Drosophila melanogaster: one gene and its partner. The protein of the gene in region 2 purifies or fractionates together with the protein of the main gene of each other region. This does not show direct contact. Each region holds a gene or a part of one and is shown on either strand. Other genes may lie near its edges. The genes, in order: qkr58E-2 and SC35.

Region 1 (5,795 bases), on a different chromosome or scaffold from region 2:
GGTTGCAGCTGAAAACCAGCAAGGAGTACGTGTGGAGCAAGCGCGAGAGCACGCCGGCGGGTTCCTCGTTAATTGAGCTTGTGGAACATGGGATAGCACGCATCAAGTACGCCTCGGAGACCACGGCGGCGCTAATTGCGGAACTGAAACAACTCTCCACCGCTGGACAGTGCAAAGTAATGGTGGCCATTGATGGCTTCAATGCCTTCTTCCATCCGGTTACTCGCATTTTCTCCGACAACAAGCAGCTCGTGACTCCGGATCGGGTCACGCTCACACAGCCCTTCCTCGACATCACCAACTACGACTGGACAAACGGAGTATGCATCCTGTCCGTGGACAAGATCGCAATGACTGAGGGCCACATGGACTCCTATATGCCGCGCTATCTGCTCGGCAAGGAGGGCTTCGAGCATCTAGATCCGTTTGTGCCCATCCATGTGGAAAACTACACGGACAAGGAATTCCACAGCTACATCAGCTACTATCTCGACCGACACTGGATCAACAAGACGCCGCAGGGATTCGAGGAGCAGCTCAAGTTCATGAGCAACAAGAACCCCTACTCGCTGATGCAGCTCGTGAAGGCCTTGTAGAGAGCGAGTGTCCTGTATTTGTTAGCCAATAAAGTTAAATGATTTGTTATTTACCACAACGATGCGGTTTGCTTGCTGTACGCTCACGACTCAATTTGTAATAATGAGTCTGGGAAATTCAAATTGGAAATTTATTTAACGATAATCAGCAATACATAATGATGCACAGTACTTTCGTACGTTTACATATATGTGTATGGGGTTTACATGCAGTGTGTTCAATGTTCAAAATCAATACAAATAGGGCTGTGTTCAAGTTTCGTGTGTCTTGTGGCTGTAGAAGCATCGTCAACAAGGTCTAGATCTAGGCCTAGTCCGTGCGGATCTGCTGGCTGCACTCTCTCTTTATTTAAGACTATATCTTAGGTTCCGTTCCGATGTGGGTGTGAATGAACAAAATAATAACTAGGCTGCAATTAACATTTGTCGTCATATTCGTATGTATATTTGCATAATTTCTATTACAATTTTAGTTGCTTTTAACAACAATAACAATTATGTATGTATGTATGTGTTTGCATATTTTCTCTGATCGTATGTGGTTTGCTATGTCCGTTGCATTTGCATTATCGTAGGCGAAATCGGTCTCCTGCTCCGATCTGTGTTTTAGATTCTCGTTTGCGTTTCTAATGTTCATTTGGTTTAAACTTTACGGCTTTAGGTGAATATGCTGATGTTTTGAATATGCGTACGCGCGTATGATCGTGTGGTGTTGCATATGCACTATGTGTTATAAATCATACCGCTTGTATATACTTGTTATATATATTATTCATGATCGTTTGCAGTTGCTTTTTCTGTCCTGGCGACGTAACAAATAAAAATAAGAAGCCTCCTCTTCTAAACGTAAACATAATACAAAACGCATTACAACAAAAAATGGGATAAACTTAAACGCAGAGTTGGAAAAGCAATAGAGTTAAAGCGACTGCGAGAAGGATACGTATGATAGTAAGCATAAGGAGATATATATATTCATTTATATAAATTACAAAGTGATGAAATCTTCGCACGCGTCAGTGGTAAAATTAAAATGTTAATAATATGCGACAAAACAAAACAAGGACATTTGGCTCGACTGGGACCAACCTTGAATGCGTCCATTCGATTCGGCCCGATCCAACATCGAGGCGTTCTCCACCTCCTCCTCGTTCTTCTTCTTCAATTCTTCTCTTCCAAATGCTCGCAGGGCCCAACACACGGATTCCAAAGTCTTAGATCGCAGACCCTCGTGATCCTTCGAACCCAATCCTCGAGAAGAGGTTGCGTGCGTGTGGGGTGGTGGGTGTTTGTCTGGTCGGTTAGTTTTGGTTTTGGTTGGGTGGCTGAGGTGTTCGTCTGTTCCTCGGAGCATTTGTCTACTTAGGCTAGTTTTCTTAAACATAGATTTACTCATTCGTTTCGTTTTGGTTTCCACCCTGCCGAAATCTTGATGAAATCAATGCATGACAAGTTTCCAATGTTCTCATAGTTACTACATCTACCTTTGGAGCTGTGTGTGGTTGTGGGTGTTTGGATGGGTATGACAGATGGGCGTGAATACTTCCGGATGAGGCATCAATGATGGTGAGGAATAGTTGAACAAACAGCGAACGGCAGCGGGCGGTGCATCCTCCCATCTGTATTATTTCTTGACAAACTGGTAGGGGGCAGCGGGACGGTAACGCATGTTAGGCGGCACAGCGCCACCGATGCCACCGCCAGTGGTGGCCACGATGCTATTGGCCATGATTCCGCCACCGCCGGCATTACCCAGTCCGGCATTTCGGCCATTGAAGCTGGCCGCACTGACGACCATTCCGGGCGGTGAGGCTCGCACAATTGCTTGCGGTGGCAAGGTGGTGTGCATGGCATTGCCCCGTTGGGCGGCTGCAAAAGCGAACATAGAATCTATGGTCTATGGACCAGGAGAGCCCAGACTTACCTGGCACATAGGGTTTTGGCTGGTGGTACGCATTGTTGTGTGAGCGAAAATAGACAGTCTCCTCGTTGTGGCGATAGTGTGATTGTTGCTGAAACTTTTGTCTGTAAGAAACATGGGAGTTTAGCTAGACTCGAGGCTCGTAGAGGACATTGAACTGCAACCCACCTGTAGTTGCCGCCGGAGCGCTGGTTCCCATTGCCATTATTGCTGCCGGATCCAGCTGCGCCGCCATTTCCGTTTCCGCCTCCACCACCGCCTCCTCCTCCTGCACCACTAGCTGCCGCATTCGACTGCTGTTGCAGCTGGCGAAGCGTCAGCTTCTTGGCCGCCTCCGGATCCTCCATGAGTTCGCGGTACTGCTCTTGGCGGATGTCATCGTGCTTGTCCGGCGTGAGGTACCGCCGAATCTCGGCCAGGGCATACGCCACCCGAGCGTACGCCTCGGCGGGCGGAGCAATGGTGGACACCTCGACGTGCAGAGGAAGATTCAGGTGGGCGTACTTCGCGTCCGCGGAGTTGCGCAGCTCCTCCTCACGTGCGCGATCCTTCATTGAGAAGCGACCAAGTATGACGATCTTGCACTGCGTCTCCTCCTGCAGGCGACGCAGTGAGTTGCCCTTGGGCCCCAGTAGCTTGCCCACATAGTTGAACTTCTTGTCCTTGATGGGCACGTGCACTTTTTGGGACAGCTTGATGGTGCGCTGCTGGTAGACATCGGCGTACTGGTCTCTCGTGGGAATGCGTCCGTTTAGCTGCACACGCTCCAGAGCTGCAAAAACAGAGGGAAATCAAAGTAATTACCATGAAGTGCCCCTGACAAATCAATTTACCTTCGTCAATTAGCTTCACCGCCAGGGGGAAGTGGTTTTCCATGCGCGATCGCTCCGTCATGAGCTCCTGCATGTACTTCTGGACCGCCGGCGCCGGCTGGGCCTTCTCGCCGTCTGCGTTGGCGTTGTGTTCGTTCTCATGCTCCCCGTTGCTCGTCCCGCCGCTGACGCCGGTGGGCACCACTCCTGTCCCGGCCCCCGCAGTTCCCGCTGCTGATCCACCGCCGACTCCCGTCGCAGTGGAAGCCACCGCAGAGGCCACCGCGGATGACCCTGGCACGCGCAGTCCGTTCTCCGCCATTTGTCGTCCTGCCTTCGGGATCGCTGTCGCTCTATCGTCCTGCTAAGTCGCCGAGTCTCGGATTTTCCGTGCGCAGATTGCGGGCGATCGCTTTTGCTGTCGATTCGGTATGATTGCTAACTTAGCACACTTCAGCCTTCCCAATGGCCCTAATTTTTCTCTCTTTTTCCAAGTGTGTATTTTATTCGGACATTTACTATGTCAGCGGCTCGGTCCGGCAACTCCGGTCTCTCGGGCTGTCTCTCGTGCTTCTGCAGCGTGCTGTTCGCTGCCAATCGACGGTGCTGTTAAGGGCGCATAGTTGTTATCGGCTTGCAGACACTATCTAACGCTATATATTAACATAGATGCGTCGTCAGGTGCATGGCAATAATTTATAATATGCACTTAGTGATTTTTAAATTACAAATATAATTTAAATGCTCTCTTTGTTATGGGAAAGTTTTTAATAAAATTGATAAGTCATAAACTACTAATGCACATGATGGCGGGTTGTTATCGGCAGTAACCGATAATACGCTATCGAATCGGTGATGCCGATTTACCTATCGATGTCCTACCACATACATATTTTTTCAGCCAACTAATTCTGCAATAGTAGAATTTTGTATTCAAGAGTAGGAGTTTTAAAATTCACGAATCCTCCAGGCCAGAAATCCTACAAAACGCAATGCCGCGCGACTACGACAGAGACTACAACGAGGACGCCGCCGACTACAAGCGGAAGCGACGCGACGAGGAGCCAGCGGCTACCGGTGCTCCAGAGACCCCTGAGGCGGATGGCGGCGGACACACCACCAGCCACGCCGCCCTGCGGGACACGCCCCAGCTGAATGAGAAGACCAACGCGTATCTGCAGGAGTGCCTGCTGGAAAAGAAGACGCTCGAGAAGAAGCACATCATCACCAAGCGCTTACTTGACGACGGTGAGTTAGGCGCTGCGACATGTAAGCTATAGTGGATCTAATTGCAATTTTTCATGGCCCCGCAGAGGTGGAGAAGATCTTGGTCAGCGGACGCATACCAAAGCCCGAGATATATGCCAACGTGTACAGCGAAAAGCCCATCCGCGTGGCCCAGAAAGTCTTGTTCCCCATCAAGGAGTACCCCAAGTTCAATTTCGTTGGCAAGATCCTGGGGCCCAAGGGCAACACACTGCGGCAGCTGCAGGAAGAGACTATGTGCAAAATGGTGGTTATGGGGCGCAACTCGATGCGCGACCACGGTAAGGAGGAGGAGCTTCGCAGCTCCGGAAATCCAAAGTACGCCCATCTCAGCCGCGATTTGCACGTGGAGATATCCACGGTGGCCCCTCCAGCGGAGGCCTATCACAGGATCAGCTATGCGCTAGGCGAGATCCGCAAGTTTATGATACCCGACGCCAACGACGACATTCGGTTGGAGCAACTACGCGAGATGGATGGCAAGGAGCGCATGTACAAGAAGTCTCACCACTATTCCAAATCCTATGGCGATCATGGCGCCTACAGTTCCCGGTAGGCTTGTCAATTTTCGTTGAATTTTAATTGGTTACTAAGGAATTCCTTTCGTCACAGCACCCCGCCCCCTGCTTCTTCAAAGCCCAAAGTCTATTCGATTCTGGAGAAGGCTCGATATGTGATGGACGATCCCAACTATGGGATCGTAAAGACGCACAGGTTAGCTAAGTTCAATCGCGTTAATGATGCCTTTAGAAGTTAAATTCTTATGCTTTCAATAGCGTGCATCTGTGTTATCAACCATTGTTAGAAAACCCTCCTTTAATCCCTTACTTTTTCAACAGATCACGGGACCACGAGCTATATGACCACCATGGAGAATATGATCGCTATGCCACACCGCCGCCCCAAACATCAAAGCACTCGACCCACCACGCCCAGTATGACAGTAGCTCCTACGAGCGCGACTATCGGCGTGAGTATCACCCCCACTCGTCCTCCTCTTCCTACGCGGCGGCCTATCCAGGTAAGATACCTAGATTTCTAGACCAATAATCTCTTCCCCTCAGCAGGCATGTAAAAATAAACAAAATGAAGAAAAGAAAAAGAATACGACAAATAGCAATGTAAACGTTTAAACTTAACTCGCGCAAATCAAAACAAAAAAAAAACTCGAAAACAAAACAAAATCTATCCAACTAAGCG
Region 2 (5,502 bases):
TCCTGCTTGCGCCGAATGAAGCGCGTGTTGCGCAACACCCGAAATGATTTGAGTTGGGAACCAATTTCCTTGGCCGCCCCAGGAGCTGACCAGCTACTTATGGCGCGGCACGTCTCCCTCTGCATCACGTAGTCCACCTTGTCCGGAAATGCTTCGCGGGTGTGATCGTAGCGCGACTGCAGCGAAAAGTCCAGCGTATCCTTCGGGATGTTCGGATTGGCACGGTACCGCTTGCTCGAGCGCACCGAGTTCATCGTTTGATGATAGAAGAGCCGCTGATACGGCTCCAGATGGCCATGCCAGGTGCCCGGTTTCAGATGGGCCTCCGGCAGCGGGGGCTCTGGAAAAGAGCACACATAGGTGCCCTCCGTATGCAGTTCCGGCTGCCTGAGAGCACACAATAGTCATCTTGAGCCAAGTCGGGCATAACTAAAGCTTACCATGATACATTCTTGATCTGCACAGTATCGTACTGAATCATCTTTGCAGGAGAAACCAATATAATTTAGATGAAAGTGTAAAAGGGTTTCTGAATCGTATTCAGAAGGACTTGGGTATATGTGATTTTGCCTTCGGTTTCCCGGCAACTGCTTTGTCAATATACCCCCCGACTACCATGTTTCTCGGGAGTCAATAGAAACCGAAACATAATGGATGGATGTTCTGGGCATCCGAAGATACTAGATCTTTCTTTACAATATTCCAAGATACATATATGTTTTAAAACCCCATTTCAACCAATTAATAACATATGTAGATGGTTAAGTTATAATCAAGTAAAACTTTATTGAAGCGTTTAATTAGGCTGCAAATTCAAAGGGTTAGCTCTCTCACTTACCGAATGTACCAGATCGTTAGGGAATCCCACATTTCGGTCGAGTCAGTATGCAATCCAGACTCTAGCATCCATCGCATCGTCGATGTGGCCTCTGCTGCAAATGATGACTTTTCGCCTAAACTCAAAAGGGACGCCCACCAAGATACAGGAAAACACCAACAACGCCAACCAGCAACAAATCGCGAGTTGAGACGAGACGAGACGAGGCGAGAGAAGAAGTGACGGGAAACGGGAAACTATGAGTGAATCTGGAGCAGCTTTGGCAGCGCCAGCGTCTAACAGGAAACAGGAAGCTGCTACGGCTACGGCAACTGCAACTGCAGCATCAGCGGCACCAGCAACAGCATCATGCGACAGCAGCAGCATCAGCATCAGCATCTGCAGCAGCAGCAGCAGTAGCAACAATCAGGAGCCACGCGGTGTCCGCCTACGTGAGGAAGGAGTTGTAGCTTAGATGATGCGCTGCTGCTGATCCTTAATCGCGAGCGATTTAACCACAATCTTATCTGAACCGCAACAACTGCCACACACCATTCGCCTGCATATATATAATAAACGTGTGGGAGAAGCTTGTTAATAAGTTTGTCGTTAAAAGGTACAAAGAACGGAAACGAGCAACACAAACGCAATCGAATCGAATCGCAACGAAACAAACAGAATCCTAGAGTATTCCTATCACTCATCCACCTCTCATTCTCCTCCTGTCCTGTCTGTCATTTGATATTTAGGTATTGAATTGAAGCCGTGTTAATTTGAGTTTATTTTGTTCTGTTTCTGATTACGTTCAAGGATTTCTACTACGCTCTAGTATATGAAAGCCTATGTGCAAGAACCGACATCGAGGGATCGCCCAGGTTGCGGGGATCTCACTCGGAACATAATCATGCCTGATCTCTACTTATTTACTCTGCCGAAACTTAAAATAGTTCGCTATAAATAGTTGTGTTAAGTGTAAGATTGTATAATGGTTTCTATACCTGCTGTTCGGGTACAGCATGACACAGATGGAGCCATAGATCCGGAACAGGATACAGCATTGGCCCTAGTCAGCGAGTCATATCTGAAAGCAAAGAACAACTAGTTTTAAAATAATCCCTATTTAACGTAAGGTATGTTTAACCTTATATAAAGCTTTTTCTGAAGCGTTACACGATATGAACTCACCTCGCACTCCCACTAAATGGAACGTGACGTCGATATCTAGGAGCGACTGCGACTACGAGACGCGGCTGGGGCCAGTCCTCCAGATCCGCTTCCGATTCCATTGCGGCTGTCGCCGCGTACTGGACTGCGTGAAAATTTGGATCGGCGTTCCGGCGAGTGGCTACCAGGCGAGCGGGAACGGGAGTATGATCGGCGACGCGGACTGCGCGAACGACGGCGCATTGGGGAGCGAGAACGTGACCGACGACGCCCGCCGGAACCACCGCCTCCTCCTCCGCCACGACGACCACTGGAGCTGCGAGTGGGCGAAGAGGGGCGTCCGTAGCGGGCCATCTGTACGCGGAGCTCCCTGCCGTCTAGCATGCGACCATCCATGGCCTCCAGTGCGTCCTCGGCATCACGTTTGTCATAGAAGCTAAAAAATTAAGGACATGATCAACTAGATTCGTGTGTACTTTGCACATACGTTTATTTATATTTAAGTCTATATTTAATTGTAGGGCTTACGGTAAGTTGGCTAGCAGGGGTTTGGTAGGCAACTGTTGCAAGTGTACACATTCAATCTAGCATCCTTTTGCTAAAGAAGATGTACAGACTGAAAGCTGTTACACATTCAAAAGGGGCAAATAATGCAGGTAGATACAACAAATAAATAGAATAAGTGACCTTGTATCAACTTAATGTATCATTGAAGCCATATGTTATGAAACTATAACTTTAGAACTTATTATTTAGATGTAGTATTCTCTGTACGTTGGCTAGTAAATGTTGAGTAGGCAACGGTTGCAAGTGAACACATTTGTTCTGGCACCATTTTGCTACTGAAAGTGTACAGATTAGCAACTGATACACAATCGATGATAGCAAATAATGCAAATAGTTCTAATGAAATGAGAGGAATATTTGAGTTTAGACAAGGGGCGTACTTATTATAGCAGCTATATTCAAATGATATTTAAATGATTACTCTGAGACTTTTGTAATTTGCTTGCATACCCTGATTAATTCAGGGAATACATAACATTTTTCCTCAATGTGCTAGTTTTCAATGAAACATTATAAAGTAGATAGTGAAAGCGGATATGACGAGTGATTGTATAGCATGATTTTCGCAGTATACTTTCGGGAAATACATATATTTTACTCCTAGTATGTATGGATACATTTTAGGTCCCATGATAATTAAAATCCACCGCCGGCAAGTGAAAGTAACAAAACAAAAAAGACCTAAGACTTTCACAATTTTCCCGGAAGAGAAGTGAATGCTTACCGAACAAATGCGAATCCGCGGCTCTCACGTGTGTAGCGATCCCTGGGTATGTAGATGTCCCCCACCTCGCCGCACCGCTCGAAGACCCGACGCAGATCCTCCGGCGTGGTGCGATATGTGAGATTGTCGACCTGTAGGCATAATTACACGCGGATTAATTTACATGCTTTTGGAGAGGTTACCTAACCACACAACGTTGCCAGCCGGCCGCCATTTTGTGGGCGATTTAGTCGCATTTTACTTAGCAGATACTTGCCTTAAGCGAGACCATTCCATCGATCCGTGGAGGTGGACGCGCTGCGCCCAATCCCCCGGCACCACCACCGTTGCTCATTGTCTATTTGGATATTTGTTTTACCGCTAAAATGCTAATGCGAATGCTGAAAACGAGCCAAACTCCAGACGATTTTTTCACTACTGTTAAAATGGCGTCTGGCACGACGTTAGAGCTGGAACAACATCGATTGTAATTCGATACCATTGATGATGAGCTTAGAAATGTATTGAAACCCCAAGGCTCACTACACACTTATCAATATTTACAAAACTCGCATTACACTTCTATTATACAAAATAACTAAATTAATAATTATAAAAACTCACTGAAAGTGAATAAAAAATTATTAATGTCTAGTCACACATAAAACAAATACAGTTTGTATTTATATATGTACATGTGGACTACGTTATATTTAGCCTTAAAAAATTATATTAATCAGAACAAAGTACAAAAGCAATATAATTATTTATGTTGAATAATTTTAAAAGTATTAAAAATCTTACTAAAAAAATTTAAAAATATCTTAATACTTTGCCCCAAATCAATTATAGGCCACTGTGACAGCCAGCACATATCGATGCACCGATAACACCGCATACAAGTGGCAACCCTGACTTGATGCGTGGCTTAAAACGTGTAAAATAATAGAAGATTGCTAGTTCCGAGCACTGCATTTAGTGTTCAGGTAGTCGAATCATACCTGCAGATCACCAGGTGGTCACCACTGCCCCAAACAGGCGATAGTCGATCAAATTAAAGGGAATTCGAGTTCAACCCGAGTTGGCCAGGCTAGCAAAGCACAAACAACAAACACAACACCGAGTCACAACAAAAGTGTAGACCACATTGAGCCGAAAGTCTGGCCTAAACCCCCCACAAGCCACCCCCCCGGCCAACAACCATCAAGGCGTGCGTGTGTTGGTGGCATTGCTTTTGCCATTCCCAATTTCCATTACCATAGGCAATCCCAAGAATTCCGAACGACCGCGTGTGTTCTGTGTGAGTGCGGGAGCAGCAAGAAGAAGCAGCTGAAGCAGTTTGTAGAAGGAGGGCGAAAGTGTGTCGTCGCGTGAAAAAAGCGAGAGAGAGATTTTCATCGGAGGAAACCACTGCGGAGGATTACGGACGCACTGCAACGATGGCCGCCCAGGAAAACACGGAGATCAGCACAAAGTTCTCAACGCTGAACGTGAACGCGGTAGAATTTGTGCCCAGTTTCAGTTACAACAGCGTTGTGAATGTAGCTGAGGAGGCGGCGGCAGTAGTGGTTGCAGCGGCTGCGGCCGAGGAGACGGCGGATCCGGGTCCCGCCTCCGGTTCAGCCACGCCAGCCACCACACCCGATTCCGTCGGCAGCGGGGGATCCACAGCGGGAGCAGCTCCACCGCCTCCAACTGCACAGGGGGCGGGGGCAGCAGCACCCTCAGCACAGCCGCCCACATCATCCTCCAATTCCGCATCGCCAGCGCCGGGTTCGCCAGCCACCACGCCTTCAGCAGGAGCAGCGGCGGCGGATCCAACGCCCATCGATGGTCTCAACCCCTCGGACAAAATCGCAAACAATGGTAAATAGAGCTTGCTAGCTACCTAAATACCCCCTGCCAAATACACATGCCCCACGTCCATTGAACTCGCTTCTTCTGTGACGTCAACAAAGAAGCGTGTTATTGTTGCTACCTGCTGGTCGCAAGACCGTTGGCAGAGACACAACAATGGGGAATGGGATAGGGAAAACCCCAAAGATAGGTTGCATTCACCAGGTTCCGTTTAGGTTATTATCGCTGGCCCTAGTACATAACCTCAATCTGCGTCAGCACTGCCGACGTCGGCGTCGCATGTGTTGCTTGACTTCTATTCGAATTGCGGGCATTATTGTGCCGCTAAACAAATGGCTAATCGCTTTCGGCCTGCGCGCAAAAACAGTTCGTCCGGCCAGGGCCCTTTCTTTGG

What was found.
Region 1: the proteins of SC35 (region 2) and qkr58E-2 purify together in Drosophila melanogaster (affinity purification with western blotting, with the first as the bait; one study listed by BioGRID). This does not show direct contact.

What each region holds. Positions count from the first base shown.
Region 1 is NT_033778.4:22,413,922-22,419,716, reverse strand, and holds qkr58E-2 (quaking related 58E-2), read right to left. Parts: upstream 3,909-5,795; 5' UTR 3,652-3,908; coding exon 3,351-3,651; exon of another isoform or gene 3,290-3,350; coding exon 2,686-3,289; intron 2,622-2,685; coding exon 2,521-2,621; intron 2,466-2,520; coding exon 2,221-2,465; 3' UTR 2,081-2,220; intron 2,025-2,080; exon of another isoform or gene 2,015-2,024; 3' UTR 716-2,014; downstream 1-715. Other genes in the region: mRpS29 (mitochondrial ribosomal protein S29), read left to right, coding at 1-596; qkr58E-1 (quaking related 58E-1), read left to right, coding at 4,322-4,577, 4,643-5,147, 5,208-5,309, 5,435-5,616.
Region 2 is NT_033779.5:12,430,307-12,435,808, forward strand, and holds SC35 (SR family splicing factor SC35), read right to left. Parts: upstream 3,733-5,502; 5' UTR 3,607-3,732; coding exon 3,529-3,606; intron 3,404-3,528; coding exon 3,273-3,403; intron 2,875-3,272; exon of another isoform or gene 2,719-2,874; intron 2,645-2,718; exon of another isoform or gene 2,492-2,644; intron 2,418-2,491; coding exon 2,039-2,417; 3' UTR 2,003-2,038; intron 1,899-2,002; 3' UTR 769-1,898; downstream 1-768. Other genes in the region: CG5435 (uncharacterized protein), read right to left, coding at 1-387, 441-481; eRF3 (eukaryotic translation release factor 3), read left to right, coding at 4,691-5,117.